Oryzias latipes: one gene and its partners. The protein of the gene in region 7 purifies or fractionates together with the protein of the main gene of each other region. This does not show direct contact. Links are inferred from orthologs where the notes say so. Each region holds a gene or a part of one and is shown on either strand. Other genes may lie near its edges. The genes, in order: nat10, lin28b, ythdc2, srp9, ybx1, ltv1 and larp7.

Region 1 (4,290 bases), on a different chromosome or scaffold from region 7:
TAGTCCAGATGCTCCTGCAAATGAGAAGAACATCAGGTGAGAGTCACTGTCCACCGACAGAGAGAAGATCTTAGCACCTACCTGATACTGCAGAGCATCAAAACCTTTGAAGATGAATTCAAACATGGTGTGGAGGTTGTCTGGGCTCGGAGAAGTCACGAAGATGTTGGAGTAGCTGAATAAGAAGAGATGTTTGTACAAAACAATTTTAAATGTGAATCTAGAGTTCTTTACGTGGGGCTAAACAAAAACCTCATGTACCCAAAGGCCACAGCTCCAGCGACAGACAGCCCCATCGCAGCAGACTTCCCTCGACCTCGAGCGGCAGTCAGAGCCACGGTGCTCCTCAGGGTTTTCTCGGACACAGCTTCGATAAACTTCAGCACCGCCTTTGCCTACGGGATGACGCGCTTCTTAAAAATTACAATTCAAACCTTCTTAAGCTCAATCCCATTCAAGTTTAACTTCCTACTGAAACCCCTCTGTATGTTCAGATCTCTGCCATCAAGATTATCACCACCCATGCTGTTAGAGGTGACCTGACCTGATCCATAGTCCTGCAGCAGTCCACTAGAACCCCGACAGGCTGAGTGTCCTGAAGAGACTCCTTCAGATCTTTCAGCTCTTGCTCTCGAGGAGACAAACCGTCCTCCTGGAGAAGAGAAGGTGATGGCTTGTCAACACCTAAAGACCTTGGTAAAACAAACACTCCAAAAGATAAACTTAAAGACCCACTCCAAAGAAAATGTTGAAATTGTTTAGTAGCATTTTTCTCACGATGCAGGATATATATGTAAACAAAATTATACATTTTTGAGTATTTCTTTATACAAATTGTTGTGAATCAGAAGCAGATAAAAAAAAATGCCGTTGGACAAAGAGTGCATTTGTGAAATATAACACAATGAGCGGCGCACAAGCTCCCTGCTAGTCTGATGCCCCCACTTGTAAACAAATAGATTCCTGTTATTAATAATTAATGTAAGTAAAGTTCAAAGTTTACATGGTGAGCAGAAAAGGAAGTCTCCCTCTTGAACATCACTTATGAGTGCTCTAGAGAAACAGCAGACTCCAAAAATCGTAGATCTATAGGGAATTTTTCAGAATTCCCCTGAATTTAAAGAATACAAAAGCAGAATCCTAAAGCATCATTAAGCATAAACCCTTTTTTTAAAAAATAACAAAGCGGTTTACTCAACGTCAAGTCATTTCAAACATAAATGAAGTTGAAAAAACGGAGTAAAACAAGCAAAAAATATATACATTTGGTTTTTCCTCATGTATTATTACAACCTCCTCTTAATTAACTAACGGTATATTAGTTTCCATGACAACATTTGTACCTGGGTCTTTGGGGGAACTGGCTTGATGTTTGTCATGTGGCTGGAGACTGGAAGGATGTTAAGCTGGTCGTCAATAACAACACAGTTTTTACAGGAGGAAAGTGAAAGTATAAATCTGAAAAACACAAATTAAAAGACACTATGAATATTTTTTTCTGCAACTAAGAAAAAACTCAAAAAAGGGTAAACAGAAAAAAGAACCCAACCTCTCGTTGAACCTGCCCACCACGTCTTGGTGAGCCTCAGTTCTGTATCGGGCGTGCACGTCCTACAAAGAAAAACAGGAACTAAGATAATCCGAAAACCAACCAGACGACGAAGGTGAACGAAGATCACAGCTTACCATGGTCATGGTGTAAAGCTGCTTGAGAGATTTCATGGTTCGGAGCAGAATGACGATGATCCCACCTCCTTCCACCGTTTCGATTGTTCTTGCCAAGAGATTGGGAGTGAGAGCTTCAAAGTCCTGAGTAGTAGAAAAAAATGTGTGAAAAGACTACTTTATTTTCCAAAGACTTTGGTTTCGAGCAAACACCATGAAGAAGAGAATCTTTGGTTCACATTGGCCTAAACAAAGACCAGCTCTATTCGCGAAAACCATAGAGATTTCTCACCTGCAGGACACACATGCCAAAAGTGTTTCCCAGGATCTTGTGCGTCTCGTTGTAGTAACAGTAGCGGATGTTGGTGGCAGCAATGAAGAGCTCAAACGGGTCATCTTGATTCAAATTCAGGGTGCCAGTTTTAATCTTCTTCTGCAGCTGTCTCATGCGCTTCTTCCGATTGCTGTTCACATTCATTGGGACACATCAACAGCTGCCCTCCTTTCCCCCTGCAGACACTGCAACCACCTGTCTGGATGGAGTCTCTACTTACCTGCTAAAGCCCAAATCTTTTTTATAGCACCAAAGCACCGAGGGTCGAGCTCTGACAGCAGTTTTAGACAGCATGTGATGCAGGATCACGACCTGGATCAGAGGAAAACGATGACTAAATATGGAGGAAGCTGCTGAATCAGACTGCTAACTAGAGGAATTGATGATTGACCTGATCTTTGCCGCGATCTCCCACAACCACAAACATGGTTCTGTGCTTTAAAGCGACCCCGTTCTCTATCTGGACCCGGATCCGATTGTCCACCTTCTTGCGGACTGTCGCCATTGTCGCAGCGCTGCAAAGAAAAAGCATTAACGCTGACTACTAACTAAGACATACAGGAGGCCAGCTAGCAATTCCAGGTAATCTGTCAGCAAACGAGAACAACAAAACCGGATTGAGAAAACAAACTATTGTCCGTTTACCTTCTGTTAAAGTTTCTTTTGTTGGTCGGAATTTAAAATTACAGAAAAACTCAACAACAAATCAAGCAATAAAAAAAACACGCTGTTGATACACTCACGTGGAGACAACAGTTCATGAAGGACCCGTGGATGACGTCAAAACTGCGCGACAACCTCTCTCTCTTTTTTCTTTTAAATTAACAAAACAGAAACAAAAAAGGTGATAGACGGAAACAATAATAACAAAGAAAAAGTCTTTCCTAGGACATGCAAACTGTTTGCAGAAGTTTTAGGGAGCTCGTTTTAACCATCTGAGCAATTATCTAAACACGAATTAGCAAAAGCTGCGAAATTCCTCGAGGAAGTTTCTTAGGTTTCCAGATAATGAACAAAAAAAATCTATTTTATTCCCACTAAAGTGCAGTTTATTTTTAAAGAAAACATCACCATTCACTTAAAAAAATGCCATATCTTCGTATACAATTTGTTTTAAAAATTGTTGAAATGCAAATTTCAAGTAAACTACTATAACAAAATAAAAAATAAATGTTGAGCACAGGACAGAACCACAGCTTTTGAGGTTATATTGGGTAGAATACTGATACTGGAGGAATTTTTAAGTTATTGGACACATTTAATTTGTAAAAATGTAGTTCTTAAATATCACAGATATGCAAGTTGTTTTTTTTGCTGGTAATTCACTTTTCTTCTTAAAATCTAACCTTTTGTAAAAGCTTCTGGCACAGAGTGTACTGCAAAAGTGGAAGTTTCTAAGAGAATCTTTTTAGCTCCTTTTAAAAGCAATAATAATTATGTAAAGATTGTCAACAAAATAAAATTGAAAATGCTTAAAATGTTAAAGGATAGCATTCCAACTCACCCTGCGAACAACTTGTCCAAATTACTGATTACTTTTCAGCAAGGTGTATTAAAGGCTTAGACATATAGTTTCATCAACTAACAACTTTTTCCAACATTTTCCAACCTAATTTATAATTTTATTTAACTTTTACAGTATTTCAGTTCACCTGTCAGTCTCAGATATGTCAAGTAAAGCTTAGATATCCTACACTTGCCACTTTCTGCATTAAAGTTATCCTGAACCACATAAATGTTAAATGTAAACAAATGCAGAACTATCATAACAGCAGACTCAGCTTCACAATAAGAAATACAAACAAACATTTATCCTGGTTCATTGCATCTTTGAAGAACAAAATGTGATTAAAGAGCAAGAGTATGCAACACAACTTTATTGAAACTCTTGAAGCAACATCAATTTACAAACGAGGAAATGAGAGTTCTTGGAAAAAAAGTGATTCGACTTTTTAACCAAAATGACAAAACTGAGATACGGGAACAGCTCCCATCATTTGGACCAGCAGTAGCAGGTGAAATAAAATCATTCATAAAATCCGTCAGGGTTTTCAGGGACTCTAAACCACGTGGCTTTTGTAAAATCAAATACCAGATCTACAATCGGCCATGTGTTTTAAAGTCTGCATGTTTTTTCCCAAATATCAAAGAAGACATTCCTTTGATTTATAAAAGAAAAGGGGGAAATGCCACTGATGATGTACGATAAAAAAACACCAAAAGTGAGCCAGGGTCGATGCATTTCTTGAATTTTAGTTTTCAGTGTGGTGCAAATTATTCAGTCAGTCATT
Region 2 (3,500 bases), on a different chromosome or scaffold from region 7:
CCGCCTCCCAATCTGTCACGGAGATCCAACTTTTCTTTTTGTTTTGTTTTGTTTTATTGTGGGGACGTCGCTCGCTGCGCACCACGCGTCCCGGATTGTTTTTACGTAGAGTCGAAAATACGAATTTTCCACCGTCCGTGAACTTCGCTCTGAGGGTGGAGGGGATTCCCCCCACGCGTCCCGGAGAGGTCGTGCAGAACCCAGTGATCAGGGAGGCTCGGTTGGTCTAACGCGCTTCTTCTTCCAGGAGGGCCGGCGAAAGGTGGAGGAGTCAGAGAGGAGCCCGCTAAAGCTGCCGAGCAGGAGGACAGGACTCGACCTCAGGTCCTGTCCGGGTCCGGGTTCTGCAAGTGGTTCAACGTCCGGATGGGTTTTGGATTTATCTCAATGACCAACAGTGAGGGGAGCCCAGTGGAGCCTCCTCTGGATGTGTTCGTCCACCAAGTAAGTTCAAACACAAAAGCAGCACACATCCTTGTGTGTGTGTGTGTGTGTGTGTGTGTAGTTCTCAGAACTGGGCCCATCCATGCCTTCAAGGGCCCTCAGTTCCGACCAAAGCAGCAGTAAGGGGTGACTTTTGTATCATCTGGATGTTTTGTGTTGCTCAACAAGTTGCTGTGTAATCTGAGGTTGTCCAATGCTTAGAAAAAGAAAAAGTGTTTCCTCTTTGGACCATCAGCTCTCCCCTCCCCTCCCCTCCCCTGCCTCCCTCTGCACTGCTGGGGGACTGGAAGCAGTGCTGTGTGACTGCCTGCAGCAGAGCCTGACATCCAACCAGCTAACAGATTCAAACGTTTCCCCTTTCTGGCTTTTTAGAAGCTTCTGTTTGTTTTTCTATGTAGAGTTTATTTATCAGAGGCCTCTATTTCTACTTATTCCATAGCAAACAATAAGCAGCAAGATCTTCTCCTCCAGCTCCTCTTCTTCTCACATAATGTTTGATTCCATGAAGTGGCTGTGACAAAAACAGGGAGCAGCATTTCTTCTCACCGTTTTCTGTTTTGCAGACTCAGGGGAGATGTACTGAACACGAGGGGTCATGTTGGTTTTAAGAACAGAGGGAATCACTGATTATTAACTTGGATATTGGAATTATATAGATTGTAATTGACTCAAATATTTGGAATTTTGCATTTTAAAGTTGTATAAGAAAAATTGAAGAAACAAATTGCTGCATAAGTTCTTTAACTAGTTCTATGACTTCATGTTCTGTATGATTTCTTGTTTACTATACAATTACCGGTATGAATCCCATTGAGATGCATGTTGTTGTAATATTGGGCTATATAAATAAAATTGATTTGAATTTAAGGTAACTGATTAAATGCAGTATTTTTGAGTATTTAATGAATTTAATGTCAAAAACACAGAAAATAAATACTTATGTGCATGTATAATTTGAATACTTTTAGGATTAAATCTTTTTTTTCTCTCTCAGCCAAATTCATTATAAATAAAAATAAATTCCTTAAATCTCAAAAGTACTTATTCCATTAACCCTATTAGGGTTTTATTATCATCATAATCAATGCAACATTTTTATTAACCAAGAAAGAAACTGTTGATATGTACATTTTATCTGTTAATATTGTGTTTCAAGCAAAAAAAGAAAAAAAAAATCTCAAAGGAACTAACAGAAGCTGAAAGGATGCAAAGACTTTGAAATATTTAATCAACTTAATACCTGCAGGTGTGGTCAGTGATAACATCATCACTTAGATTTATAATAACCTTTATTATCTTTTTAAAAATTCATTTAATGAGACTATCTTCTTAGAATTCAGTTTTTTTTGTAGGATTTAGAGCAGAAAAGCAATACAGAAGAGCATTAGGGACAGGTAAAATAAATGCAAGCAAGTTGCAAACTGCACATGTATTTCATTTATTCACTATCAAGCAGCCTTTTTTCAGCTTTATATTTCCAAATATGATTTATTTGATCTTTTTTTGTTAAGTCTACTGCAAAAGTTGGGGTAATATATAGATAAAAAGTACCTTTTTTATTTTTAGAGGCTTAAAACGCTTATGAGTTTTTGTCAACATTTGTTTGTGCATGTCAACAGATACAGTTGTAGCTGCATCATTGTGCTGCTATGTTGTGATTCATTCGACTAAACGCACCGCATCCAAGTAACAGCGTCCCTGCTTGCCAGGGATGCTGTGGAGGTGGCTTAGGCCAAGGAGCTGAGCTGCAAAACACTCAAACTGTGCAGATTTATTTATTTTGAAGGGGATGCAGGAAAAAAAATGCAGCAATTTGTTGTAACTTTCGATCTCAAAATCCAAAAACATTCAAAATATAAAAAGTTTTTACCTCAAAGCCAAGTTTGACTTTTAGTCTAAAAGATTCAATTAGGCAATAAACAAATAAAAACAAATAACTGTATTTAAATAAAACGGCAACATTTTAAAGTAGATCCATTACAAATACACACATTGAGGATGTGATTTAATTAATTCAATATCCATTGATTTTTCTTTCAGATTTTTTCTCAAAAGCCAATTCAGTTTAACAATTTGAAACTTTTCACAGAACTAGTTATTTATTCTAAATTAATTATAGTAATTAAATGTTGCCTGCCTACACTAATAAGGTTTTTTATGCCTTGCATGGTGGCGAACAAACAGACCCACTTTAATAAAATGATGTTTGTTGTGTTTTAATGTGATTTTCTGATGATGGAGGACTTGGAGGGAGAAAATTAAGTTTAAGAAGAAATGACACAGAGAAATGCTTACTAAACTGAATTTTTTTAAAGAAAATTGTGTAGTTGGTTTTTTCAAAAACAATGTAATATTTTAGTTATTGACTATTGAAACTATTTGGAAATACTTTGAGTGTCTAAAATAATTGAAAGACTATAATTAATTACTGAGAGATAATTTTTTAATGCATGGTGACACATGCACTGCATTTTTCTACGTGGCACACTTTGCTGCTTCACATTTATATTAAAAAATGCAGTTTGCTATTCATAGGCAAAAACACCAGTATTTAACAAATCACCTGTTTGCAATGGTGCAGTTACATCCCAGTGTTGTGTTTACATGGATACAGCTGTCCTAGTTAACAAAGGGAAGAGGACACGCATTTAGAAGCAAATCATCGTACTCAATGCAAAACAGCTCATTTCTTTTGCATGGATTCACATACACCCTCATTAAGGCAGCCACTCATTTTCTTTGGCTGCTCCTCCTTCTCTGCCTCTTCTGCCTGCAGCCCCAAAGCTATTTAGATAGTATTTCCAGGTGCAGTGGGAGATGTTCGCATTTTGAAAAATTGAATTAAAATCTGTCAGTTAGGTTCCAACCCGGCGGGAGCATCTGCGATTTTGATAATAAAAAAGAATTTCTGGATGTAGATTCAGAGGCTGGATGGACAGAAAAGTCTTCAATGTGTGTTTATGGAGCAAGGTTTGCTCTCAGGAGGAGAAGGAAGGATCTATACCTTAAATAAATGAGGAAAAAAAAGGGGTAAGAACGAAGGAGAGGGGAATATG
Region 3 (3,500 bases), on a different chromosome or scaffold from region 7:
CTTCCATTCAGCTCCTGAATGCACCTCATGCTGCGGCAAGTGTTACTATTAAATCTGTGCACTGTGCAATAAAGTCAGAAAAAAATGTTTGAACCAACTCTGGTTGGATGTTTGTTGTAGCAGCAGACACTTAAAAGTCATGGTTGTGAGTTTGAGCCCCCTGACAGAAATGTTAGGCAATGCTTCACCTGCCAAAGTGAAACTGTTTTCTACCCACCACATTGAATTTAGAGCCCTGTTTTTAGCTATGAGAAAAACAATATCTTTACTTTGAAGTAGTAGATAATACAATGAAGGTAATTTTGGAGCCAAAGTGGTGATGTTGGCCATTCTGGTGTAAAAATCCAACACTTGTTTTCTTCATGTCCATATGAGACTTCAAAGATGCTTTGTCTATAATACTTTTCTGATTTAACCCCAAAACCAAGGTCATGGCCAAGAGACATATACCAGTCCAAATAGAGAGATCATCAACCAATGTCTCTAAATTGATTATGTTAAACTGAAAGAAGGAAAGATTATAACTGTCTTATTGAAAACTTCTATCATTCTGTTGTAGGGTGAGAAGACAAGGCTGCAAAGACAGATAGATGCTTGCATCTCCAAGCTTTTTTTTTATGAAGACCAAGAGATTTTCTGTCAGCTCTTCAGTCTAATCCTAAATGAAGGTGTTGATGGTAAGACTCTCTAGAGTGACCTGCTACTGTGTGCTCTTTACTGTATTCAATTATTATGGCAGTTTGAAATGATTTCTTTAGAAATTCCTCTTGGAAGTCTTTATTTTAAACATTTCTTTTGTTCAGGACCTAGATTTTGCCTAGAAGTAGCACCATTGTTTTACTTTTTGCCCCTGGTTATGTCTTCTGTGGTGGTCGTACCCCTGGAGCCATGTTTATGTTTTTTCCTTGTAAACTGTTCCACAGTTGACTGCTCACACAGTGAGACTGGTGCTACACCTCTGATGATGTCAGCAGCCCGAGGATTTGTCACACAGATGCAGCAGCTGCTTAGCATAGGTGCTGACCTCAACAAAAGGGAATCAAATGGATGGTACGACCTCAGTGTCTTTAAAGTTCTGGTTTCCTTCTTGATCTTTCACTTTACAAATGGATCAGTTTTCAGTATGTCAAACTTAAGACCATTACATTGATGTTCTAAGATGAAAGAAATATGGTTTTTGATACCAATAAAGTAAGCAGCAGTATGAGCTTCAAATCTAACTCTGAAGCCACCACCAGCCATAAGTTGTACAAATCTGCTGATTGCCATTTTGTTGTTTCAGGACGGCTTTGGACTTTGCCAAACACTTCCATCAAACAGAAGCAATAGATCTGCTCCAGTGTTGCAAGTGAGCCATTCCTTGATCCTAATTAGTTTCAACAAATAAAGAGCACGCTTAGCACTATCTCTGTCCGATACAAATATATGGCAGTATTAGGATCCTGGCAATACTAGTATAACAATAATGGCAAATTCATATGAAACCTTTGGTCCTTTCGAGCCACTGTCTTGCTTGTATTTCCCTCTAACCCTTCCTGTTCTTTTGAATACCTATATTTCAGGGGTACCCAATACTTAGATCCTTCCATTGCAAAAAAAGTGTGAGAAAATCAAAGGGCATTTAAAATAAGCAAAAAACATTTAAAATATATGTTGTTTTTAAGTAAGCCATTCGAATGTCTTCTGATATATACAGTGGGGAAATAACTACTCAGTCAGCCACAAATTGTGCAAGTTCTCTCACTGAAAAAGATGAGATAGGCCTGTAATTTTTCACATAGATAAACCTCAACTATGAGACAAAATGAGAAAAACCTATGTGTAAATGATGGTGGTAAATACCGTAATTCCCGGACTATAAGCCGCTACTTTTTTCCTGCGTTCACAGCCCTGCGGCTTATTCAGTGACGCGGCTAATTTATGGATTTAATTGGCGGCCGCCATGTATGTACATTTGGACTCAGTGAATAGTTTGAATTTTTTATCTAACACTAAGCACGAGTCATTTGTTTTTCAGCAAACTAAGTAGCCAAACAGCATGGACCTCACTTCAGGACTTAGACACTTCAGTCATGGTTCAACAAAAAGAAACACGCATGCCCGGCCGCATCCCAGAATCCTTTGGTGCCATTAGACCCAACGTGCACGTGATCGCCGCTACAATATGATGCAGCTTTCAAGTTAAAAGCAATGGTTAAAAGCAGCGTGAAAAAATCCACCATCACCAACGGGTTTGGAAAAGCCGGTCAGCTGTGTGACGGAGAGAACAGCGCATGCTCAGGAGTGAATTTACCTCTGAGTCATAATGACTCAGCTGGCTGCACGTAAATATGTGGGAATAACATCAGCCTTTATTTTGTCGGGACACGACTGGAAACACAAATCCACGTGGTCGTTTTAACGGTTTCTAAGGACTGACCGGAATTTTGCATTGAAAAGCTCACAGCCTCCGTGTGAGCTGGAGACATGTTCTCCTGGCTACTGCTCGTTCACATAGAGCTGCGGGGCCAATGGCAGTCTGAAGGCTCCCACACGTAACAACGCATCCGCCCCTCATCCACAAAACGTACAGTTTTAAGTCCGATTGCTCTGCACAGACACGATTTGCTCCTCCCTGGAGCCGCCCTGGCCAGATGTGTCGGAGAAGATAGGAAGGGGAGCGCGCGCGGCGAGCGCGGAGCTCAGAGGCGTCCGCGGAGCTACAGTGTTTGTTGTGAAAGGAAACTTCTGACGCACGCGCCACGCTGAGGCGCGCGCTTTTCAGTCGCCGCTGCTTTATTTTACTGCTGTGTGTTTTTTTAACCAGCCCTGTTACTCCCATAATGCTGCCGCGACACAAGCGGAAGGAGAGCTGTTCCTTTTCGCCCCTCCATCCACTGCTGCTATTGCTCATTCTTAAACACGTACAACAGTGAGGCGAGCCGGGCGTTGGCCCCGCCTTTTAGCCCCTAAGACTCATGGGAAATGGGGGATCGTGAATGTAAATTTCCTCATCATAACTGAGGGATGTAATGTTGATTATATGGTTACTGTTTGTAATTTTATGTGTGATACCTAGATTGTCAATAAGTAAAAAAAAAAAAAAAAATTAATAAATAAACCATAACTGAGGAACTTGTGAACAGAATAGAGGTCCATGCTGTTTGGCAGATGTGGGCACACTCAAATACATGAGCTTGAGGCAAGGCTGACTCCTCCAACAGTGAGGTAATGAACCTTACCTATTCTGTGAGTCAGGACGAGACATGCGGCTTTAACTCCGACGCGGCTTATGTATGTTTAAAAATAGTTGAACACGCGAAAATGGGTGGGTGCGGCTTGTAATCGGGTGCGCTTTGTAGTCCGGTTTTTACGGTAAGTATTTGGTTACCTACAAACAAGCTAGATTTCTGTCTCTCACAGACCTGTAACTTCTTCTGTAAAGGATCCTCTGTCCTCCACTGGTTACCTGTATTAATGTCATCTGTTTGAATGGTTATCTATATAAAGCTACCTGCCCA
Region 4 (3,380 bases), on a different chromosome or scaffold from region 7:
TCTCGATTACTCGGTAGCTGTCATGTTGTCACGTGACTGCAAAGGGGGCGGAGCCAGTTCCCTTCTCAGGGGAAACAGTCCAGAGTTCTGGAGGTGAGGCCCGGTTCTGTTTGAGGCTGCTCTGGTTCCAAACATCTGTCCGAATTCCTTCCCTTGTAGTGCCGTCAGAATCCACAATTCTAAAATCCCAGAAATTTCCCAGAAGTCTCTGACCACATATAGACCACAATGCATTGCATCGGAACAATTTTTGCCAAAAACGTATTTTTTTATAAACCCTCAACGTTTTCATCTTCAGAAGACCGTGGACTCATAAATGACCGTCACCTCTGCCGTTTGGAAACCAGTGAGCGTAGCGTCCGACCAGCTGTTAGAATCCAAGCACTGCATGGTTTTATAGAGGTTAGGGCGGGAAAGCGGGCAGGAGCGCAGAGCGCCACCTTCAGGAAAGTCCTGACAGCAACGAACCACCAAGGCTCTGATGAAGCAGGAGGCAGGAGAGCAGCTGGAAAAGAAACTTTAATACAGAAAAGAGTCCCAGAAAAGGCCTGGGGGGGCAACGCCGCCGTTTCAGTCACACAAACAAAGATATGATATAAATATAACCCCTCCCCTGACGCTCCATCAGGGCAGGACCCCCCCCCCCAAACACATCACAGAGCATCCGCAGCATCAGTCCGTCTCCATGGCGCCGCTGTGCGTCTCCTTGGAAACCATGAGTCTCATCAGCTTTCCGTGCAGCTTCTCGATCTTCTTGACGTCCTGGGCCTGGTCCGTCTTGTACTGGAGACACTGGAGGCGGAGACAACAGGTGATGGAGAGGACGCCGCAGACGGTGGCGAGTTTATGTCTGAGCGGTTGTCACCAAGCGCCAACCGCAGCTGTTGTCATGACAACAGCATCTGTCCTCCCATAGGGGGAGGGGCTCACAGTGACTGAGGCTCACAGGACGTTTCTGGCTCCGCCCCTCAACCCCTTTCTAGCGTCAGCGTCCAGCAATGGGTTCTGCTGGAACTGTCGAGGGCGGAGCTTAGTGCCACATCTGCTCCTGATCACAGAACCACTGTTCTGGAATCCCGGATCCGTTCAGAACTGGAACCAGGATCCCAGAACAGAGCCGGGCTTTGGACCCAGATAGACTCTGACCCGACCCAGCTGCTGTGCTGAGAGGAGGTCCGGAAGCTCCAAGAGAACGTCTTCTAACTTCCGGAACAGTCAGCCGGTCATTAGCGGCGTTTCTGTTTCAAAATAAAAGTCTGAAATAAGAAATGCCTGAAACGACCTGGAGTCTGTTTCCTGACTGAACACTATGAACTGATGAAGAGGAGTCAGCTTCTGTGATGAAGGATTTGAACCAAACAGCTGAACTTCTGCTTCTGGTTGAATAATTAACGTCACGTCATCCACCTGGTCACGGACTTTAACCGGTATGATTGTCTCACGTGCCTGTTTCTGTTTACAGCAGACTTCTTTCCACGCGCGTGTCAATAAACGCCTTTTTTCTTTGGACACGTGAACTTATGCTACGAGGGTTAAGGAAACTAAACCGATGGCATTTGGAAGAAGCCGTGCGCGCCCCCATGGCCGTCCACAGCACACCTGGATCAGGTCTACAGAGACCGGATCGATGAATCCAGACCCCCCACCCCAGAAACCTACCACGGCGTTGTCGGTGACTTTGATGCAGAGGCTTCCGTCACAGTGGCGGTATTTCAGGACCACTCGGACCTGCAGACACTCAGCTTTAGACCCCGCCATGCTAGCATTAGCATGCTAACGCGCGTTCCCGGTGTTCAGCGGCTCACCTTCATAGGATCCGTTAAATACAGTTTCTCTGCGGCGCGAGCGAACTCGTCCCAAGTCTGGAAGACCGGCATTTCGATTACTGCCAGTTAGATAAAGATTGAATCTGAAACTTAGTGGTTACCACGGAACACCACATCAGCGTCAGGAAAGCAGGAAAGAGAAGGCGGAAACATCCGCTTTGTCTTTTCAAAACAAAACAGGTAAAGGTAAAAAAACACATTTTTAAAGATATGTTTTTAACAAATTTAAAACTTACAGTGTTCAGTGTTTTGGACGTTCATCGTCCTGGTTGGTTGGGAAAAAAGTCACTGAAACGCTGTGGTTTAAAACCTTCAGGCAGATTTAGGCTTTTACTTTGGAAATATTGAAAATAGACACCCGGAAGTCTTAGTTGAGCCAAAGGTTATAGGGCCATATAAATAGGGATTTTCGTTTTTTATTTAAATTGGATGAAATTTTAGAACAAACTAAAATTTACATGCATTTAAAAAAATCTTCGAGACGCGACTGATGGACAAGAAATAAAATAGAATAAAATGCCTTTATTGTCACTATACAGTGTAAGATTCGCATCACACGCGCATACAGTGAAATGAGAGCCAATCACTGTACAGTGCAGACATGCATAAGAAAAATAATTTCACAAAAGAATGTACAATTTACAAAAGTACAAAAATGTACAAGAAACCATTTCGCTGAAAAGTTTTACTTTCCGCAGTGAAGCAGGTATTGCACTGCTGTGCCCATGATAGCAGAGATATACTGCACATAATGAGAGGAGAGAGAGGTGTGTGTGCGTGCGTGTGCGTGTTGGTGTGGAGCTGTCAGTGAATGTGAGTTCAGGATGGTTATGGCTTTGGGGAAAACTGTTCTTAAGGCGGTTTGTCCTCGCTCTGATGCACCTGTAGCGCCTTTCTGAGGGCAGCAGGTCAATAGATACCAAAAGTCACTTCTGCAGACGTGCTATGCAGAATGTAACGTGAATGTTTTTCAAGCACACTGTCCCGGCATAATCTGTTTATTTTAAACTCTTCTAATTATTTTTATTTGTGTTTGAAAAAAAATTGAAATGAGAATTTGAAATAGAAAATAAGCTGATAAAATATATGTTCCTAATAATTTGAATATTGAGATAATTTTATTCATGTGGTATATTTACATAAACATTCAGCTAAATGTAAAACCTTCACTGTCGAATGTTCTGCATTCAAGTTTAAGGCGGTTAAAAAGTTCATCTTTTGGACACCAGAGGGCGCTCACGTGTCACGGAGAAAGAAGCACAGGAAGACTCCTTTTCTCCCGCTCCTCTTCATCAGGACACGTTTTTTGGATAATCCTGTCTTTTGTGAGTGAGTGGGGTGGGGTGTGTGTGTGTGGGGGGGGGGGGGGGGGGCATTCATCAGTCAGTTCCCCCCCTCCAATGTATGTCTGTTGGATCTCAGCAGAAGGTCATTTGGCCCGTTTGTTGGATCCTTCACTGTTTGTTGAAACCACAGTGTGCACGCGTGTGTGAGGGCGTGCGTGTGTTCGCAGCCCCAAACAGGCCCCATCTCTGCTGCTTTTCTTCATCTGCT
Region 5 (4,285 bases), on a different chromosome or scaffold from region 7:
AGTGAAGCAGTACAATACCAGGTTATAACAACTAAAAAAATATGTGAAAGGAATACACACCCTACATACAAAACGTCCGATCTGAAAAAAATCTCTTTTTTTCAAGAAACACGGAGATTGTTTCAAATATTCCAGTCAGTGCTGGAATATTTTCTATATTTCTATTTAATATTTCTCAAAAAAGGGCAGGATTGTCTTGAAAGTTCACTTTAAATATGGAGTTATTCTTGTTCTCACCATTTAAGGCAGGCATGTCCAAAGTCTGGCCGGTCCAAGGTGGGTTCAGAAACCTGTCAAAGGTTTCTTTCTAGATCTCTACAAAGTCTGGCCAAATGCAGCCCTCCTGAAAGCCTCTTCTAGCCTGCTGGTACCTTTTATAAAAATAAATGTGCTCCCAGGAAACTGTGTATGATTTCTTGATTATGATTGCCTACTTTATAAACCATTTTAAACCTATGGCAACACTATGATGTGACCCTTTTGCAATACCTTTTAGCTCATTTCTAAAATGTCGACTGTAAATTTAACAAATGTTGACAATTGGGGGTCGCTGCTTTCAGGACAAGTAGAAATTTGTGTATTTTTTTCAGTAAGATACTAAACATGCAAGAGGCTGGATGTTTTCAAGAAATTCAATATCAAGAGGGACTACAAGACAAGACATCCCAACTATGCCAAGCTAACTAGGAAAGAATGGTGCATGGTTTTCACATGTGAAATTCACTGTCATTTTGTTAAAGATTTATTAAGCTCTTCTTTTGTTCTATGTGTAGAAAATACAATTAATATGCAATAAGCATTTCCCTTAAACAGTTCATGTGCATTTAATGTTATAAGGGTTCAAAGAATGCAGGTTGAATGGTTGGTCCTCACAAATGTTCACCTCACAAAATCTAATTCTCTTTGCAAAAAGTCAAATCTAAAAATTTGCAGATTGGATCTTTTGTATTTTGGTTATCAAGTTTGGTTTTTGATGTTTAATCATCACTATTTACAGGTAACAACCATTCATTTTAAAAGTAAAAATAAAAAAGCAATATTGTGGATGTTTTTTTAAATTTACAATATATTCTGATTCTTTTGTGGGAGTCAAACTTTTTGAAATTTTACATAAATTGTTAGCCTCCAGCAATATTTAAAAGTAGGCTAATATTTCCTAATAATGCCATAAAAATGTTGTTTAACTACGGTTTTAAAAGGGGTTTACGTGGATCAACACTAGCTTTATGCGTCTTTTTTTTTAGTTTTATGCATCTGACACATGATTACAATGGGGCGGTGAAAACTGACAGGTACGGTACCTTTAACCAACCGTTCGTGAAAACGCGTCGCTTCAACTAGACTGACAGTAGTCTAGCCAATCAGAGGACGCCTTTTTTCTGTGACGCATTCAGTCAATAATTCCAGCCAGTGAAAAGCTCGAATGGGCGGGGCCACAACCAAGAACATTCCCCAACACAACTACTGATTCTGCCCAGTTCGATCGGCAACGGGAGCGGAAAGAGGAAAGCTGAGAGCCCGAAGGCAGTAGCCCCCACCACCGCCGGCCCACGTTACCATCTAGCACCGGGAAAAATAGCAGAGAGCCGCCGCCGGCAGAAGCCATTACCAACCAGTAACTATGAGCAGCGAGGCCGAGACACAACAACAACCACCGCAGCCTGCTGCCGATGATGCGGAAAGCCCATCCAGCCCGGCAGCTGCAGCTTCCGCGGGGGATAAGAAGGTCATCGGTAAGACTGCCGACTCCACTTAGCTAACTAGATGCTAAACGTGGTTTATGTTGCTGTAAACGAGACAGAAACAGCCGTTGAATTATGTTAATGTAAAATGACCGTTACGATCAACTTTATTAAGTAGTTGGACGTTAAACCGTACGTCGAATTGTGATACCAACTGTCAATATAATTATACATTTTAAAAACTGTCAGTTGGGAACGGTTATTCATTAATAGCGTATCATTCTCATTAACTATGAGATGTCACAAGTTTAGGAAAAATCCACATCTTAGAAATGTAGTAAATAACCACTTAATCCATGATTTTCTGTCTTGGTGGGAAAACATTTGCGAAAAAGAGACGCATGCATCCAAACGGCCGTCACATGGATGATCGTAGGAGTAATTTATGTCAGATCCAGCATGTTTACTACCAGACGTTGCAGACCTTTATCTCTCACCGTTAACCGCCAAAAGTACGAACAAAACCCGAAAAAATGACGAATAAATGTTTTAAACTTGGAAATACCCTGCGTTAGTTCACACTAACAAGTTCACCGGCAACTGACGCTAGCTGCTTACTATCCCTTTGTTCGCACAAGTGTCGAATCCCTGTATTCTCTGTCAAAGCTTAAAGGTGGTTGTTTTCAAGTTTATTTTGTAACTATTAGATATATTCAATAATAAACGCTTTGGGATTTGTATTCAAACCGTCCTAAGCTTTAACTCGATTTTTTTTTTACATTTTCGGTGAGGCCTAATTATTTCACGATAGCTTTCCAGTTGCTAACGATGCTAATGTTAGCCTAGCCAGCTAGCTGGCTGGCTATTTACATGGCTGAAAAGGCCACCCAAAATGTCCGCCGTTACACGATCCGTTTATACGTTACAGTTCTATTCTAGCTCGGTTTAGGTACTAAAAGCGCTTGCTTAAGTAGTTTCGAAGTAACATCTGTAAGATGTTGATGGGTTTATTACGTTGGTTTCCGCTTTTTGGCTATACTCCAACCACATGGTTGTAACTCTTAGCTACACGGCTAAGCTAAGAAGCCAACTCGGCTTGTTTTTCGGTCTGTCCGTGTGCGACCCTACCACGTGTGAACGCTCACGTCGTGAACTGGGCGTCTTAAAATGGGGCAGTAGGTCTTTAATGTCCGAGTTCTCTAAATGCAGTTGCTAAACGCGAGGTTACTTGTTTTGAAGTTTGACGTGTCGTAAGCTCTGTTCCCCGTGTTATCCGCATTCCTTCCACACATTTGCAGTCAATGTAATTGGACTGTTTTCTACCATGGCCGGAGCTTCACACCGGGAGCAGCTGGCGCCAGGCTCTCCTAAGCATCAGCATCTATAATAAGCACGACAGTTGGAAGTTATTTTTAACGTCCACACTATGGCTAGTTTTTTCCTGCACATATCTTATTATGTGCGATGCTTTGACTGTTCCCAATCTATTATCATATTTTCAAAATTTCATTACTGCTATTCTAAAATTACCTTTGCAGCTTAGAGAAGTAATATTGACACTTGATAACTGAGTTGCTCTGTTTTTCATTGCAGCAACAAAAGTCTTGGGTACAGTCAAGTGGTTCAACGTCAGGAATGGATATGGTTTCATCAATAGGTAAATGACCACCTCCAGCGTTCCCAATCCTATTATGATTATTGCTTTGCTAACGTGGCTGACCTGATTATTTTTTCTAGTGGTCTGCATGCACACTGTAACCTGCAAGACTTCATTAATCCTTGCACTTGTTGGCTTAGTTGCAATCTGTCTTCAGAGGTGTGTTGTCTTAGTAAGTCATGTGTGGTATAACTGAATCTTTTTATTTTTTTCTCTTTTTGTTCAGGAATGACACAAAAGAGGATGTTTTTGTACACCAGGTGACCTATTATTTTCCAAACCTTTTGGAAACTTAAAACATTTTTTTTTTATTTCGACTAATTCACTTTTCAATTGTTGATGATTTCAGACAGCCATAAAGAAGAACAACCCAAGGAAGTATCTTCGCAGTGTTGGGGACGGAGAGACTGTGGAGTTTGATGTAGTTGAGGGAGAGAAGGTAATGTTTTGGGAAGAATTTGGTTATGTTTGCAGGCATGTTGTCAATTTTAAACTTATCTGTTAACAGGGTGCAGAGGCAGCAAATGTCACTGGCCCTGGAGGGGTGGCTGTCCAGGGAAGCAAATACGCTGCTGACAGGAACCGCTACAGGCGTTACCCACGCAGAAGGGGGCCCCCTCGTGGAGGAGAATACCCAGAGAACTACCCAAGTGATGGAGAAGGCGAGCCTGGCAACGGAGTGCGTGACAAAGGAAACAGAGACGGGGGAGAAAGCGCCCCTGAGGGAGAATCGCAGCCACAGCAGCGCAGACCCACTTACCCCAGCAGACGACGCTACCCACCATACTTTGTACGTAGACATTATGGTCGTGGACCCCCGTACACCAATGCACCACGCGGAGAAATGACTGTGGTACGCGGTCACCAGGCTGCTATCCAGAAGTAGGCAACCAGTTGTACCATGACAGTCGAGACACTTGCTCTTCTCCCAACATGCTCCTTGGTA
Region 6 (4,116 bases), on a different chromosome or scaffold from region 7:
GCCGGAGCCCCCGTGTACCTGGCCGCCGTGCTGGAGTATCTGACCGCTGAGATCCTGGAGCTGGCCGGAAACGCCGCCCGCGACAACAAGAAGACCAGGATCATCCCCCGTCACCTGCAGCTGGCTGTCCGCAACGACGAGGAGCTCAACAAGCTGCTGGGCGGAGTCACCATCGCTCAGGGCGGCGTGCTGCCCAACATCCAGGCGGTGCTGCTGCCCAAGAAGACCGAGAAGCCCGCCAAGACCAAGTAGATACTTAATGATCCACCAACAACACAACGGCTCTTTTAAGAGCCAAACACGTCTCTCTTTCAAAGCATCATCCTCTAATTATATGCTATGTTAAACATAAAACCTGGCATATTTAATGTCTCTAAACCCTTTGTAGGATTTACTTAACACATTTCTCTTTACTGAAGAAACTGCCCTGCGAGAAAGATCTTCTGATACAAATGTTGATAAGCTTTGTAAGCTTCTTTTACCTATACTCTGTGGTTCACAAGCGCTTTTTATTTTTTATAGAAATTTTACAGAAAAGCTGTTTGCACTGAGTCGACAGACATTTAATCTGTGCTGTATATCGTGTGTGTGTGTATACAGTAGTTGTGAAAATAAAGTTGACTTGACGTTGCATACCTAACATAATTGGTCTTTAATTCTTTTAGTATCTAAGGCTTTTCAAAAGCATTGGGTCAAGTTTTTTTTTTTTGCACATATAAAGTTATGCATTTCGAATTCTAGCTTTTAGCCCATGATTATTTGACAAAATTGAAAAGAAATTAACAAACTGTTTAAGAATGCCATTTATAAAAAAGAAATCGTGCAAATATAATTGGAAGTGGGTGAAATACCATGACTGACGTTAAAAATCGCAATTAAGCAAATTGAATGATCGGCTTCCATTACATTTCTTAATCATCTCAACCAGGCCCCTGAATCCATGTAGGTTTTCTTGAATTAATCAATAGGTGGCGATAGTGCAACAGGTCACTGTTAATGAACCACGACTAAACCCGAAGAAGAAAGGGATGTTCCATTAAAGCTTTAGACAGCAAATATTGAAACTGTACAAATGACAATACAGCAGCTATTTAAAATCAGTATTAAACCTTGAGCCTTCTTTATATGATTATGTCTGGTCCAATAATAAGAATGGGTCTCGTGCAGGTTTTTTGCTTGACCATAATCGTATCGGTTCACCCCTTCATCGTGTTCCAAATGGTCCCTTCCTTGAATCAGTAGCAGCATGTTGCTCGATCGTGTCCACCATAGGGTAGACACTCCTTCTTTACCGATACCAACCAATCACAGTGGAGATCAGCAAAGCGCCCCGCCCACATGGCCCCGATCCGATGTTAACAAGGCCACGAACAAACTAGCGTGTCCGATCAAGAATTAAAGTAGCTGCCAAAGAACGATTGTACTTTTATTGTTACATTTTTTTGTGGTTTTACTGTTTGCCTGTGGAGGATTTACCTCACCAGCTTTTTCGGAAGAAAAAAGAGCGCTATAAAAAATGGTATGGAGACACATGTACTTACTTAGCTAACAGTTTTAGCTTTAGCTAACAACTCCTACTGCAACTGTTTACTAAAAATCATTTAGATTTTTATTATTTTACCAGGTTGCATGTTTTATGCAGGATTCACTTTAAGAATAGTGTTATTTTATTCTTTACCTTTCATTTTGAACAAATTAACATAACAATTTTAGCTAACTTATTCTGGGTTTATTTATGAAGTCTGAATTTATTCTACTTTTTTGTTTGGAAGCCGATTAACTAGGTAATAACAGTATTCCGTAATTCTGTTTTTGTGGTTTTTGTGATATTTATTACTCTTTGGTTCTGTTATATTTTATCCCTGAGTAAATATTTCAAATGATATACGATCCGGAGGGTTTTTTGTTTGTTTTTTGATAAAAGTCCTACTTTATCTTGATACTCTCATAAATTAATCCAAATATACTTGGATTCAGTTTTATTATATTGCGTTTCATGGAATACTTGCCTTTGTGTGTTTTGTAGCCGCATCGAAAGAAGAAAGCCTTCATTGAAAAGAAGAAGGCCGTGACCTTTCACCTTGTCCACCGCAGTCAGAGGGATCCCCTGGCTGCTGACGAGAAAGCGCCACAACATGTCCTCCTTCCTGCAGCAAAGGTGCTCTGTCTGTTATGTAGAAGCATATTTATTGATTTTTAATCCACTTTGCATAAGGACATGTGATGTAATAGTTGTGTTTCTAAAAGACTTCTTGGATGGTGGTTTTGTCCAGGTGGACACGGAGAAGAGACACGAGGAGCAGAGGAAATTTGGTGTCTTCTTTGATGACGACTACGATTACCTGCAGCACCTGAAGGAGCCATCCGGCCAGTCAGAGCTGGTTGCTGCTGTTTCATCGAACCGTGATGGAGGATCTGTTCAGTTCCTAAATGAAGGGGACGATGAGATGGAGCAGGAGGAAGACAGTCCCGTGAGTTAGACATGAAATCCTCTAAACCAGGGGGCCTGACATTTTTCAGACCACTGACAGGTTTAATGTTGGACAATGTTTTCACAGACTGGCCTGTTTAAAGCTGAAGTAGGCATCAGATGTCTTTCTTTTTTATCCTTTTGTTCACCTTCAAGGAGATTATCCTTGTCCTCTGTAAAATATCTGCAGCTGCTTTAACTTTATTTCTACACACTAGATGTAGTGTGTTTTCAATGTGATCTAGACGTTCTCCTAACCCAGGAATGTCAACGTGGAAGCTAAAAAGTCTGACATCATAAGCAGCAACTCAAATGTGATACTGATCTACTGTGTTTAAGTGTCACCATCAACAATTAAATTGTATTTTAAGATCTATAAGTACGATCAAATCGTAGGAAACATCCTAACTGTGTTTTGTTTGATCAGGTTGCCACGCTGCACTTGCCTTCTTCTGTGTTCGCCTCAGAGTTTGAAGAGGAGGTGGGACTCCTGAACAAAGCTGCTCCCATTTCTGGTAAAATTCTTTTTTTTTTCCTGCAGATTCTCCTTGTAAAAGAAAGATTAGAGATCCGTGGATCTGAGCAGAACAGTGGACCTTGGAGCTCTTTGACATCATGATCTGTTTGGAGTTGTTGTGTAAAACCTTTCCTGTGTAATTGCATCAAACCGATTGATTACTTTTATTTTTTAAAGCTTAATATTGTGTAAAACTGGTGCTCATCCTTGCGGTTTCTTTGTTCTTTTTCAGGACCTCGCCTGGATATGGACCCCGACATCGTTGCTGCCCTCGATGACGACTTTGACTACGAAAACCCCAACAACATTTTGGATGACGACTTTATCACAAAAGCAAACGGACCGGCGGGAGGCTTAGAAACAGAGTGAGAAGACTCTAAATATCTTAAAATAATAATGTCTGCTGGTTTAACTCCATCTGAGCAGCTTTCTGGAGAGAAGTTTGAAGATTTCTGATGTCTCTCCTTTCAGTTTTCAAGCAAAGATGGCATCGGCTAAACAGTGGGATGCTGCTCTAACAGCACATGTCATTTAAATGTTAGGAATGTTCCGATCTGATTCGTGTCATTTTGATTTTGAGGATCTGCTGACACCGAGTCCCGATCCAGTCGTTCGGTCTTACATTTAAAAAACAAACACGTTTAATAAACAGATCCAGGTTTTCACCTCCTTACACCGATGAACCCTTAAGCGTTTCACCTCCGTGAAGCAGCTTGAACAAAAAAAAGGGAAAATAGTTAACTAGAAATAAAGGTGATAATTAGTCATGTGAGAAAGTTTGGCGATTGTAGCTTTAGTGTCATCATAGCTTTTTTGACTGTCTGTCCATCCAACCTTGTGTTTTTGTGTATTTTGTGGTATTTGTTGATTTCTTTGGGTTATTTGTAGCTTTTAGGGGTTTTTGCCGGCTATTACTTTGGGGTGGTGGAGGCTCTGCATTTAGAGGGAGACCCCCCCCCCCCCTCTCCCCCTTTGCCCTGTATACAGCCATGGTCCAGTCATTACATACATAAATATTCATCATCATATTCAAAATCAACTTGGTGGGGATTTTTCCTTATAAAGTGTTTTAATGCATGTAACCATTGTGCTATCCTAGGCACTTTAACATTGGGAGTGGGGTCATCTA
Region 7 (4,300 bases):
ATGTCTAGCACAAATGCTTTTAAAAACAAAGAAGGCCCTCGAATGTTTAGGAGCTTCGTGTCAGCTTTCATACAGTTGCATTCGATACTTAAACATAAAACAATGTTTGCAGACACAGATTTAAATAAATGAGTTAGAAAACGGAGAGCAGACAGAGAAAAAGCAATGGTATTGGAATGAAGCAGTCAAGCTGAACCAACAAACACCTTCTTATTGTTATATACAGAGTCTGAATGAGCTGCTCAGGCCAACATACAGTGATGTGTGACATAGCACTGAACCAGCACTCTCTCACCTGTAACAGGAATCGGCTTCCTATTTAAAGTCTTGGGGAAAATCCCAGGCTTCCTGGGTGCATCTTCAGGAGGGTTGTTCAGCATCTGTTTTCAGAGATAAAATATACGTTAAGATGGAAAAAAAAAATGCTTTCCTTAAGAGGAAAAGTGACACGGATAGCTCACCTCTATTGCTTTCTGCGCTTGTTCTTCATTCTCAAATTCAACAAAGGCAAAACCCTTGGAGTCGCCCGTTGTCCTGTATCTGGGAATGCTCACATACGTCACATTCCCGCATTTGGAGAACACCCTTTCTATCCAGCTGTGGGAAACATCCTTGGGCAGAAGTTCCTTGGAAAATTTGAAAGAAAATCAGTAAATATGTGTAAGGCTTGAATTATGTTTTTAAGCCAAGCGAAGGCGACAACAGAAGACGTCGTTTTACCACGTAGACAGTGCAGCTGTCGCTGTTGATGGGTGGGTCACCAAGCGGCTGTTGACGTCTTACTTTGTTTCCCTCCAGGTTAACCTAACACGCAAAAGAAAAACGAAACCCAACTCATTCAAGGGGCCGAAGTGAAATCAAAGCTAGAACGAACTGCTAATAAGGCTGGGAGTGGGGTTAAACGGCCTACAGGCGCCAATCACACCCACCCTCGCTGTTCCCTTTTGACAGCCCTTACTGGGCGGTTGCTACATGCTTAAAATAAAAGCAGTTCATTTAAAAACAATTCCTTATATATCTATACAAAATCATATTTAAGAATTTGATTTATTGGAAGAGTATGGACACACCCTCGACGTTTAGCTTTTGAGAGAGTTACATTTATTGTTAAAAAAAAAGAAAAAACCTTCAAACTTTAGTGGAATCCTTATAGAGGTTTTTTCTCCTTTGTGTATATTTTTTATATATACATATTACTTTTAACGCCAGAATTGAAATGTTTTGTTGTGATGTTGTTTAAAGCTTTGAAAAAACAATGACAATAAAGATATAAAAAAAAGGAAGAATTAGATTTATTCAATATAACTTTGTGTAAAACTGATACTAAAACATCTTTTTTTATTATTGTAATTTGGTTAATATTTTTGGCAGGATTTAAATGATTAGCTTTCAAAAAACACAACAAAAAAGAAATACTTCATTTTTGCCTAATACTATTCCATTTGGATCTTTATACAAAGACAAACATATTTAATTCTAAGTTAATTATTAGATCATTTTAGGAATTTTATTTTTCATTAATGGTTGTTTTTTTAACTTCACCCCAATTTTTTGCTTTATAAAAAATACTTAAATCTAATCTTTAATTCCCTTTAAAAAGTAATAAAGCTATTAAACTCAGATGATGTATCTGTTTATTTGCCTTTTTTGCTTTTCATTATTTTTTTTAATCGCTGTTTTTATTATTAAATTGTATTCCTTTTTTTCTCTGAATTTTATTTTTACTGCATTTGGATGCTGATGTCTGCTGCTTGGTTTTTGTTCCAGTTTTGTATTTTTGGGAGGTTTTGGTTTCCATGGAGTTTGTGATTTTAACCTACTACGTCTTCTGTGACTTTGGATTAGTCAACAAAACACAGCCCTGCATCCAAGTAACAACATTTACCTCAACTAGAGTGGAATTTTTCAGCGCCCTGGCAATGAGCTTTGGATCCGTTGTCAGCTTCTTCATTCGATTGAAGCCCGTCAACACAGATATGTCAACATCTGAAAGGGGATTCACACGGAGGTTAGAGATCCTAACCCCTGGAAAAATCACACTATCCTCATCTTGACGGCTCCTTACATCCATCATCAGACTCCTCTATAATCTTTTTCAGGAAACGGTCCTTGTGGAGGTTTGCATCTCCAAACCAGAACTCCACCTGCTTCTTCACGTCTCCCAGCAGCTGTTTGACCCGGTACCTCTTCTTCTTCTCTGTCTCAAGTTTCAGCTTGTCGCTGGGTGCAGCGGCAGCACCGCCTCCACTTGCCTCCTTGTCTGTGTTAGTCATCCTAAAAAACAGAATCCCACACACTCATACAAAACCAAAATCCTGATTTTAAAAAATCTCCAAAAATAAAACTAAACCACATAATAGGAATTATCTTACTATGGTTTATTGTTTATTTGCTGCATTTGAGTCTTGGGGTTTACACACAAGACATTTTTGTAACCATAACACAATAAACAAATCTCATTCATATGTAAAGCAAAAAAAAAAAAAAATTGAAAAGCGAAAACAATAGAATTTCAGCAAAAACAGCTCTTAAGCCAAATCACGGCTGTACGTCCGACTTTTTAAAACATGTATTCAGTAGTATTGTTGTTGAAAATAGTTATAAAAGCGAGCAAAGTTCCGCTTAACTGTCAATAAATTACTTTTAAAAATGTAGTTATTTTTGCAAACTTACCTGAGTAAAAGATATTATAAACATCAATTTAATACTAACATAACAAAAAATACAAAAACACTGCGGCTAACGGACAAACATCACAGAATATTTCGAATGGAGACGTCGCACAATGATGTCGTCACAACTGTCCGCCAGGACGTTTATTCAACTTCCGGTAAGTTCTATTATATTGAGACGTACAAGAAAATTCAGCACCGATTAATGTGAAGAAAAAAAAATAACTTCATACTTTTAAGGAAAAAAGAAAAACTCAGCAACATTTTTAAAAATATATTTATTTAAATTTACGCAAAGTAGCAATAGAAAACATTCATTTCAAATGTAAACGAAATACAGGTAAAAAGATAGTTTCCAATCCAAGAAGTACACATTTATTTATTTCTGTTGTTTTTTTGTCCTCTTTTTTGTGTAAACTAAACTACCCATGTCTTTATGTGACATAAGTAACTAGTTTTGATAAGTGACATGGTCAATCTACCTATTAAGACGGTTAAAAAAAACAATAATAATAATAGTAAATAGTAACATGGATATGCCGAGATGTCGTCCTCGTAACAATTTTATTCTCTGTGTTTAAATAACGCGCACGGCCGGTTAGCTCAGTTGGTTAGAGCGTGGTGCTAATAACGCCAAGGTCGCGGGTTCGATCCCCGTACGGGCCAACATGTTTTGTATTAATGTCTGAGGTTATATGGTTTATATTTTTTATGACGTGATGTTTTCCTGGGCCCTGTTTCAGAAATGAGGTTAAGTGTAAACTCTGAGTGCGTTAACCCTGAAATCAGGGAAACCCTGGGTTTTCCGTTTCAAAATGGGAGGTTTGTTAAACCGGAGAAAGCAGAGTAAGTCAAACCCGTTTCTGAAAGATAGGTAACTTATACTCGGAGTCAGCGTCCATAGTTACTTACGCTGTGAACCTAACCTGGTCGGGAGCAGGTTTTATTCTTTAAACTCAAGGTTTCTGCCGGTCCCCTCCCCTTTTTAAAGACGAAGCGGTATTTTTCGCTTTAACCTTCATTGCCCAAATTTCAGTCACACAGAGACAAGTGACAAGAATGGCTTGTCCTTTTTTGGAGGACCCAATAGACGAGGAGGCTGCATTAATTCGTAGAGAATTACATTTACGTCGTGCGAGGATTTTGAGACCTAGACTCGATTTTTTGGCATTTCCCCATACGTTTTTGTTTGAGCGTTACCGTTTTTCGTTGCAGTCAATTACATATATACAATGAAAACAACATTAGATATGTATTGCTATGTAGATGTTTCATATGTCAAATATTGTCAACAAAGCCTACCTCCATGACATGCTCAAATTTGACCTGATTGAATTATGTTTTTATACTTCATTTTTAGCTGCTGCCATGTTCTTTTAATTCCTGCAGGATTATTGCATCTACATGAAAATGAAATCAGGGACATTGAATTAGATTAATGTAACAATTACTTTTTGGAAACACAATTTGCTAGCACTGCTTACTTTCTTAATCCCATATATACCACTTGATCAATACAAGGGTAGACATAAGGTCACTTTTAAAAACACAATTGCATGTATTAATATTAAACTGACCAACGTTTGCAAGAGGGGAAGGTTAACAAAAAATTCCTCTAAACATTACCG

The links.
Region 1: the proteins of larp7 (region 7) and nat10 purify together in Homo sapiens (affinity purification with mass spectrometry; 3 studies listed by BioGRID and IntAct, with this or other methods). This does not show direct contact. The link is inferred for Oryzias latipes from reciprocal best matches to the Homo sapiens genes LARP7 and NAT10.
Region 2: the proteins of larp7 (region 7) and lin28b purify together in Homo sapiens (affinity purification with mass spectrometry; 3 studies listed by BioGRID and IntAct, with this or other methods). This does not show direct contact. The link is inferred for Oryzias latipes from reciprocal best matches to the Homo sapiens genes LARP7 and LIN28B.
Region 3: the proteins of larp7 (region 7) and ythdc2 purify together in Homo sapiens (affinity purification with mass spectrometry; 3 studies listed by BioGRID and IntAct, with this or other methods). This does not show direct contact. The link is inferred for Oryzias latipes from reciprocal best matches to the Homo sapiens genes LARP7 and YTHDC2.
Region 4: the proteins of larp7 (region 7) and srp9 purify together in Homo sapiens (affinity purification with mass spectrometry; 3 studies listed by BioGRID and IntAct, with this or other methods). This does not show direct contact. The link is inferred for Oryzias latipes from reciprocal best matches to the Homo sapiens genes LARP7 and SRP9.
Region 5: the proteins of larp7 (region 7) and ybx1 purify together in Homo sapiens (affinity purification with mass spectrometry; 5 studies listed by BioGRID and IntAct, with this or other methods). This does not show direct contact. The link is inferred for Oryzias latipes from reciprocal best matches to the Homo sapiens genes LARP7 and YBX1.
Region 6: the proteins of larp7 (region 7) and ltv1 purify together in Homo sapiens (affinity purification with mass spectrometry; 3 studies listed by BioGRID and IntAct, with this or other methods). This does not show direct contact. The link is inferred for Oryzias latipes from reciprocal best matches to the Homo sapiens genes LARP7 and LTV1.

The regions. Positions count from the first base shown.
Region 1 is NC_019864.2:14,876,447-14,880,736, reverse strand, and holds the start of nat10 (RNA cytidine acetyltransferase), read right to left. Parts: upstream 2,801-4,290; 5' UTR 2,743-2,800; exon of another isoform or gene 2,645-2,742; intron 2,515-2,644; 5' UTR 2,505-2,514; coding exon 2,391-2,504; intron 2,312-2,390; coding exon 2,220-2,311; intron 2,130-2,219; coding exon 1,958-2,129; intron 1,810-1,957; coding exon 1,687-1,809; intron 1,612-1,686; coding exon 1,550-1,611; intron 1,459-1,549; coding exon 1,344-1,458; intron 653-1,343; coding exon 545-652; intron 396-544; coding exon 262-395; intron 176-261; coding exon 82-175; intron 15-81; coding exon 1-14. UniProt on the Homo sapiens protein: RNA cytidine acetyltransferase that catalyzes the formation of N(4)-acetylcytidine (ac4C) modification on mRNAs, 18S rRNA and tRNAs.
Region 2 is NC_019882.2:6,943,544-6,947,043, reverse strand, and holds part of lin28b (protein lin-28 homolog B), read left to right. Parts: intron 1-247; coding exon 248-444; intron 445-3,500. UniProt on the Homo sapiens protein: Suppressor of microRNA (miRNA) biogenesis, including that of let-7 and possibly of miR107, miR-143 and miR-200c.
Region 3 is NC_019882.2:18,466,502-18,470,001, forward strand, and holds part of ythdc2 (probable ATP-dependent RNA helicase YTHDC2), read left to right. Parts: intron 1-559; coding exon 560-677; intron 678-923; coding exon 924-1,050; intron 1,051-1,282; coding exon 1,283-1,348; intron 1,349-3,500. UniProt on the Homo sapiens protein: 3'-5' RNA helicase that plays a key role in the male and female germline by promoting transition from mitotic to meiotic divisions in stem cells.
Region 4 is NC_019882.2:390,040-393,419, reverse strand, and holds srp9 (signal recognition particle 9 kDa protein), read right to left. Parts: upstream 1,984-3,380; 5' UTR 1,878-1,983; coding exon 1,806-1,877; intron 1,729-1,805; coding exon 1,660-1,728; intron 793-1,659; coding exon 673-792; 3' UTR 501-672; downstream 1-500. UniProt on the Homo sapiens protein: Component of the signal recognition particle (SRP) complex, a ribonucleoprotein complex that mediates the cotranslational targeting of secretory and membrane proteins to the endoplasmic reticulum (ER).
Region 5 is NC_019865.2:7,798,218-7,802,502, forward strand, and holds the start of ybx1 (nuclease-sensitive element-binding protein 1), read left to right. Parts: upstream 1-1,485; 5' UTR 1,486-1,621; coding exon 1,622-1,733; intron 1,734-3,275; coding exon 3,276-3,339; intron 3,340-3,565; coding exon 3,566-3,599; intron 3,600-3,688; coding exon 3,689-3,778; intron 3,779-3,847; coding exon 3,848-4,129; intron 4,130-4,285. UniProt on the Homo sapiens protein: DNA- and RNA-binding protein involved in various processes, such as translational repression, RNA stabilization, mRNA splicing, DNA repair and transcription regulation.
Region 6 is NC_019859.2:3,981,398-3,985,513, forward strand, and holds the start of ltv1 (protein LTV1 homolog), read left to right. Parts: upstream 1-1,316; 5' UTR 1,317-1,516; coding exon 1,517-1,519; intron 1,520-2,026; coding exon 2,027-2,158; intron 2,159-2,273; coding exon 2,274-2,471; intron 2,472-2,897; coding exon 2,898-2,985; intron 2,986-3,219; coding exon 3,220-3,352; intron 3,353-4,116. Other genes in the region: histone H2A-like, read left to right, coding at 1-252. UniProt on the Homo sapiens protein: Essential for ribosome biogenesis.
Region 7 is NC_019876.2:11,528,903-11,533,202, forward strand, and holds the start of larp7 (la-related protein 7), read right to left. Parts: upstream 2,801-4,300; 5' UTR 2,674-2,800; intron 2,275-2,673; 5' UTR 2,274-2,274; coding exon 2,066-2,273; intron 1,987-2,065; coding exon 1,886-1,986; intron 805-1,885; coding exon 721-804; intron 627-720; coding exon 462-626; intron 381-461; coding exon 296-380; intron 1-295. UniProt on the Homo sapiens protein: RNA-binding protein that specifically binds distinct small nuclear RNA (snRNAs) and regulates their processing and function.